2 linked regions of the Saccharomyces cerevisiae S288C genome follow. The protein of the gene in region 1 interacts with the protein of each later gene in a biochemical or structural test. Each region holds a gene or a part of one and is shown on either strand. Other genes may lie near its edges.

Region 1 (3,758 bases):
AGATAGTCAAAGAGGGATGATATTCGCATTGTTTCCGCACGGTATTCCACAGTTCCCAAGTGGCCAATGGATCGCTGTCTTCGTAAAGTGGCAGAGAAATGGATATGGTTAACGCAGGCGCAGCAAAGACGATGCGATTTTGCAGGAGCCTGTAAATCATCTGTCCATACAATTGCAGGTTGGACAGGTCCCGTGGAGGCGCCAATATTAGCTTATTGATTCCAACAAACCTCGCGTACTTACATTCGTTTAGAAGGACCTTTAAGCCAAGATCTCTTACATTTGGATCGCGACTCTCCAGCTCCAGCCAAGAGGATAACAGCCCTATGTAAGACGGCGTATCGTCATTGTCTAGCTTCTTGACGTTGAACGGGGGTATACAGATATCCTGCAACTGCGGTTCAGGAATTTGAAGCGGTTTCCAGTTCTGTATGGATTGTCTTTGGAAATCTTTGAAAACTTGCCCAACTATTTCCTTATATCTTGGCGTTGTTATAGGAAGCAAAACGTAATCATAGTTACTAGGCAGTTCTGGTGAATGACTAGAGACATTTTCTAGGAAACGTGACTTTTTGCTGTGCTGTTTATGATTAAAGCCTGGTTTGACACCAACAAATACGTTGCTATGCATATGCAAACTGAACCCTTTGTATATATAAAAATTATATGTATAAAAGAAGAGGAACGTCCGCACAATTCCACACACACACACACACACACGCTTTCACACACGCAATTTGAAATAGCTCCTATAGGGCTTGGGAATAGGATCACAAGTCACTCGAAATATACCATTTTTTCTATCACACATACACATTGTATAAAGCCATTTGTTTCAAAAAAATATAAAAACACTGCGCAGCGTGCTGTTTCGGGTTCCATTTGTGATTGTTTATTTTTCTTTTGGTTTAGCTCAGTGCAAAACGAGGGCTCGAAGAATTTTCAGATAAAACAGTACTCGAGCCCTGAGATCTGTTTTAGGGTCTAAAAGGCGGGTTATAAAAATATGTCAGGTGATTTTTTTTTCTCGTGGTATGAGATAAATAAAGAATGGAGCTTTTATGCATGAAAGGACAGCGGATGGCAGTAGAGCAGACATCAGTAGCATTCATTACAACTCTGTCGTAAGTTCTTGGAACTGCTGGCCGCGTTGGATACAACTAGATTGACACGCACTTACTCTCGTCTTACAGTACTATGTACCATCACTATCACGCCTTCCAAGGCAGAAAGCTTACTGACCAAGAAAGAGCACGCGTGTTGGAGTTTCAAGATTCCATTCACTATTCTCCGCGGTACTCAGACGATAACTATGAGTACAGGCATGTGATGTTACCTAAGGCCATGCTAAAAGTTATCCCATCTGATTACTTCAATTCGGAAGTGGGGACCCTGCGTATATTAACAGAAGACGAATGGAGAGGCCTCGGCATCACACAGTCTTTGGGGTGGGAACATTATGAATGCCATGCGCCAGAACCACACATTTTGCTATTCAAAAGGCCGCTGAACTACGAGGCCGAGCTGAGGGCAGCGACCGCTGCTGCTCAACAGCAACAGCAACAGCAGCAACAGCAGCAACAACAACAACAGCAACATCAAACACAATCGATTTCGAACGATATGCAAGTTCCACCCCAAATCTCCTAGCTTTGATATACTCTAATTACTGAAATTGAATTCCTTTTCAAGGCTCCATAACTATATGGAGCATACTATGTACTTATCATAATAAAGAATAAACAAACAAGCAAACAAAAAAAAAAAAAACTATGGATCATAGTTTTCACCAACAAGCATTAGAATACAAATAAAATTTATATAGTGAATATCCTTCAAATAAATTTCTTCTTTCCCTTATAAATCAAATAGATGGAACGCACGCTCCAAAACTAGTCAACTAGAAAAAAATACCCGCCGACGGACAATTTTGAAGAGAGATGATTAATGAAGACAAAGTGAGGCTGGACAACAAGAACGACATACACCGCGTAAAGGCCCACAAGACTGCATGGAATCACACGTCAAATATCTTGACGAATTGATATTGGCAATAAAAGACCTGAACTCGGGGGTGGATTCAAAGGTGCAGATTAAAAAAGTGCCCACGGATCCATCTTCTTCTCAGGAGTACGCCAAGAGTTTAAAGATCCTGAACACCCTCATAAGAAACCTAAAAGATCAAAGAAGGAACAATATCATGAAAAATGATACTATATTTTCGAAAACAGTTTCCGCCCTTGCCTTATTGTTGGAGTACAACCCCTTCTTGCTTGTTATGAAGGATTCCAACGGGAACTTTGAGATACAAAGGCTGATAGATGATTTCCTCAACATATCCGTTCTGAACTATGATAATTACCACAGAATATGGTTTATGAGGCGAAAATTAGGCAGCTGGTGCAAAGCATGTGTCGAATTTTACGGAAAACCTGCTAAGTTTCAGCTTACTGCACATTTTGAGAACACCATGAATCTTTACGAACAGGCCTTGACTGAAGTCTTGTTGGGCAAGACTGAGCTTCTCAAATTTTATGACACCTTGAAGGGTCTATACATTCTTTTATACTGGTTCACTTCGGAGTATAGTACTTTTGGGAACTCTATAGCATTCTTAGATTCTTCTTTGGGGTTCACGAAATTTGACTTTAACTTCCAACGATTAATCAGGATTGTTCTTTACGTCTTTGATTCCTGCGAACTAGCAGCACTAGAATATGCCGAAATCCAACTCAAATATATTTCTCTAGTTGTGGACTATGTTTGCAATAGAACAATTTCCACAGCCCTGGATGCCCCAGCGTTAGTTTGTTGTGAACAATTAAAGTTTGTATTGACTACTATGCATCATTTTTTGGATAACAAGTATGGGCTCTTGGATAATGACCCCACTATGGCCAAAGGAATTCTTCGACTATATTCTCTTTGCATTTCTAACGATTTCTCAAAATGCTTTGTAGACCACTTCCCAATTGACCAGTGGGCAGATTTTTCACAAAGTGAACATTTTCCGTTCACGCAGTTGACTAATAAAGCTCTCTCGATTGTATATTTTGATTTGAAAAGAAGGTCCCTACCTGTTGAAGCTTTAAAGTACGATAATAAGTTCAACATCTGGGTATACCAATCGGAGCCGGACTCGAGCTTGAAAAATGTCACTTCTCCCTTTGATGATCGATATAAGCAGCTGGAAAAGCTAAGGTTGCTAGTACTAAAGAAGTTTAACAAGACAGAAAGAGGAACTTTGCTCAAATACCGCGTGAACCAGCTAAGTCCTGGATTTTTTCAAAGAGCTGGAAACGATTTCAAGCTAATTTTAAATGAAGCATCTGTATCCATTCAAACTTGTTTCAAGACAAACAATATAACAAGGCTAACATCATGGACTGTAATTCTCGGACGTCTAGCCTGTCTAGAATCAGAGAAGTTTTCCGGCACTCTGCCAAATTCCACAAAGGATATGGATAATTGGTATGTTTGTCATTTATGCGATATTGAGAAAACTGGCAACCCTTTCGTGCGAATAAATCCAAATAGACCAGAGGCTGCGGGTAAATCAGAAATCTTCAGGATACTTCATTCAAACTTTCTATCTCACCCAAATATAGATGAATTTAGCGAATCTTTGTTAAGTGGCATCTTATTTTCTCTACATAGGATATTTTCACACTTTCAACCTCCAAAACTTACAGATGGAAACGGTCAAATCAATAAGAGCTTTAAACTGGTACAAAAGTGCTTTATGAATTCTAACAGAT
Region 2 (3,758 bases), on another chromosome or scaffold:
GTACCCTGTATACGTGTATATACAATGAGATAGCATCTATAAATGGACTTTTCCTAATCAAAAGGTATTGGTTTATGATGTTTTTTATTCATCTCAGTAGCCGCAATAGCGCTCGGTAACTTTATACCACAGCAGTCTCCCCAAGTAGTATGAACATGTCCTTCAAAATTGCACTCATCATCCTTATCAGTCCCATCATGTATGTGGCCTCTTGGTGGAGATACACCATCCGGACAAGGCAAAAACTCGCTAAAGTAAAAATGTTGCATGATGGGCAATTTACTAAGGACTTCGGCTTTATACATTTTTATCATCCCTTCAGCAACTTTTGACCAAGTCTTTACACCGCTGATGTCATCTAGCATAGGAGAATGCCATCTCAAGGAGGCGGATGACTTGACCTTATTAATAAAAGCGATACAACCAAAATATAAGTACCGATGAGCGAACATTTCTACGAGCTCATTATTGTGAATTGATATCGGCTTTAAGTGCTTGTGGGTGGTTAATTGGAAGGCACCAAATAGAAATGGAAGGAAATGATAATCATCTAATCCCCAAACACCATGAGAGCCCGCAGGCTCAAGCCAATATTTAGTTTCTAGTATCCTCATTATTTTAAGGTATTCTATAAAAACTTTCAGCACGAGGTTAGTTGAATCGTTTGAAAGATTGAATATTCCATAACTATAGAGTCCATAAAGTAAACACATGAAATTTAATTCATGACCTGAACCATAATCAATTCTTCTTTTATTTCCCCATGATTCATCTAGATAAATCGATAATTGTTCCAACTGCTCATCTGTGAGAGAGGGAAATTCGGAACGTAAGATCTTCCTGGAATTCCGTGAAACTTCGTCATAAAAGTCCCTAAACTCAACCTTACCAAATCTCGAGCTATCTGCATCCTTTATTACTGGGTGCTTCTGAGTGATATCTTTTATTTGCGAAAGCAAGTTCATCATACTGTTTATTGACTCCGATATTGGTTCTTTGTACTGGGAATTCTCATGTCCTTTGACAGATTCAGCCAAATCTATAATAAATTTAGTGAAATGAGCTCTTGTTGGGGATTCTTCCCATAGTTTCATATCGTCTGGAGTCAATAGTCTCTTTTCTGGCAACATCTTTTTCTAAATATTTATATTGTTCTTTACGGATTGTTGTTTATGGACTGTTCTTTCTGCACAGGCGACTAACATAAAGTACCTCTCTCTTGTCATTGATATCCCTTTTGTTCTATCACATCCGTTAGGATTTTATTCTGTGCTTACTCACGTGAAAGAGAGGGAAGAGTGTAAAAGTTACCCGAAAATCTATTATGGCGGCTATTGTAGTACGTCCAAAACAACGTATTTCAATGTAAATTCAAAGCAAACACTGAGAAAAAACAAAAACTTACTTATTGGTTCGCTCAGCACCTACCTAAATGGTACTTTTAGAATGATACTGTATTATCTACCGTGGTATCGGCAACTATAGGACGGAGATAAAGCATGCCAAAGTAATTCTTCCTTTATTAGATGAGATTTCAGCGTGAGGTGAACCATCATTTGTTTGGTTGGTGCATTAATAGCCTGCTTCCTTTTAATTAAGCCGGAAAGTGTTTGTCACAGATGTCAATGAAACGTGCATCTATTAACATATTTATTTTCATTTCGAGGGTGAGGTGGTGTGGACGCGTTGATACGGCAACGGGAGTGACGCGTAAAATTGGCAGAAAAATCATCACCGTGGGTAGACTTGGAAATGAAAACATTTATAGAATAAAGGTACAGGTTGAGAAGATAAAGGGTACCAAAGTTACCATTTTGAAATCTCTGATCAAGAAAAGGTAAGAAAGCAGAAAAGGACGGTAGAGATTATTGGAAGACAAACTAATTTTGTATATGCATTCGATTTTCTTAAGCTTTAAAAGAGAGAATAGTGAGAAAAGATAGTGTTACACAACATCAACTAAAAATGGAAAATATTACACAACCCACACAGCAATCCACGCAGGCTACTCAAAGGTTTTTGATTGAGAAGTTTTCTCAAGAACAGATCGGCGAAAACATTGTGTGCAGGGTCATTTGTACCACGGGTCAAATTCCCATCCGAGATTTGTCAGCTGATATTTCACAAGTGCTTAAGGAAAAACGATCCATAAAGAAAGTTTGGACATTTGGTAGAAACCCAGCCTGTGACTATCATTTAGGAAACATTTCAAGACTGTCAAATAAGCATTTCCAAATACTACTAGGAGAAGACGGTAACCTTTTATTGAATGACATTTCCACTAATGGGACCTGGTTAAATGGGCAAAAAGTCGAGAAGAACAGCAATCAGTTACTGTCTCAAGGTGATGAAATAACCGTTGGTGTAGGCGTGGAATCAGATATTTTATCTCTGGTCATTTTCATAAACGACAAATTTAAGCAGTGCCTCGAGCAGAACAAAGTTGATCGCATAAGATCTAACCTGAAAAATACCTCTAAAATAGCTTCTCCTGGTCTTACATCATCTACTGCATCATCAATGGTGGCCAACAAGACTGGTATTTTTAAGGATTTTTCGATTATTGACGAAGTGGTGGGCCAGGGTGCATTTGCCACAGTAAAGAAAGCCATTGAAAGAACTACTGGGAAAACATTCGCGGTGAAGATTATAAGTAAACGCAAAGTAATAGGCAATATGGATGGTGTGACAAGAGAGTTAGAAGTATTGCAAAAGCTCAATCATCCAAGGATAGTACGATTGAAAGGATTTTATGAAGATACTGAGAGTTATTATATGGTGATGGAGTTCGTTTCTGGTGGTGACTTAATGGATTTTGTTGCTGCTCATGGTGCGGTTGGAGAAGATGCTGGGAGGGAGATATCCAGGCAGATACTCACAGCAATAAAATACATTCACTCTATGGGCATCAGCCATCGTGACCTAAAGCCCGATAATATTCTTATTGAACAAGACGATCCTGTATTGGTAAAGATAACCGACTTTGGTCTGGCAAAAGTACAAGGAAATGGGTCTTTTATGAAAACCTTCTGTGGCACTTTGGCATATGTGGCACCTGAAGTCATCAGAGGTAAAGATACATCCGTATCTCCTGATGAATACGAAGAAAGGAATGAGTACTCTTCGTTAGTGGATATGTGGTCAATGGGATGTCTTGTGTATGTTATCCTAACGGGCCACTTACCTTTTAGTGGTAGCACACAGGACCAATTATATAAACAGATTGGAAGAGGCTCATATCATGAAGGGCCCCTCAAAGATTTCCGGATATCTGAAGAAGCAAGAGATTTCATAGATTCATTGTTACAGGTGGATCCAAATAATAGGTCGACAGCTGCAAAAGCCTTGAATCATCCCTGGATCAAGATGAGTCCATTGGGCTCACAATCATATGGTGATTTTTCACAAATATCCTTATCACAATCGTTGTCGCAGCAGAAATTATTAGAAAATATGGACGATGCTCAATACGAATTTGTCAAAGCGCAAAGGAAATTACAAATGGAGCAACAACTTCAAGAACAGGATCAGGAAGACCAAGATGGAAAAATTCAAGGATTTAAAATACCCGCACACGCCCCTATTCGATATACACAGCCCAAAAGCATTGAAGCAGAAACTAGAGAACAAAAACTTTTACATTCCAATAATACTGAGAATGTCAAGAGCTCAAAGAAAAAGGGTAATGGTAGGTTTTTAACTTTAAAACCATTGCCTGACAGCATTATTCAAGAAAGCCTGGAGATTCAGCAAGGTGT

Evidence for each region. The genes of interacting proteins can lie anywhere in the genome.
Region 2: of the proteins of MEC1 (region 1) and RAD53, one has a biochemical effect on the other in vitro, tested with the Saccharomyces cerevisiae proteins (10 studies listed by BioGRID).

The regions. Positions count from the first base shown.
Region 1 is NC_001134.8:503,657-507,414, forward strand, and holds the start of MEC1 (protein kinase MEC1), read left to right. Parts: upstream 1-2,011; coding exon 2,012-3,758. Other genes in the region: HSL7 (protein arginine N-methyltransferase), read right to left, coding at 1-631; cyclin-dependent protein kinase regulatory subunit CKS1, read left to right, coding at 1,198-1,650. UniProt on the Saccharomyces cerevisiae protein: Serine/threonine protein kinase which activates checkpoint signaling upon genotoxic stresses such as ionizing radiation (IR), ultraviolet light (UV), or DNA replication stalling, thereby acting as a DNA damage sensor.
Region 2 is NC_001148.4:262,400-266,157, reverse strand, and holds the start of RAD53 (serine/threonine/tyrosine protein kinase RAD53), read left to right. Parts: upstream 1-1,965; coding exon 1,966-3,758. Other genes in the region: peptidylprolyl isomerase RRD2, read right to left, coding at 54-1,130; YPL152W-A (uncharacterized protein), read right to left, coding at 1,458-1,556. UniProt on the Saccharomyces cerevisiae protein: Controls S-phase checkpoint as well as G1 and G2 DNA damage checkpoints. Phosphorylates proteins on serine, threonine, and tyrosine. Prevents entry into anaphase and mitotic exit after DNA damage via regulation of the Polo kinase CDC5.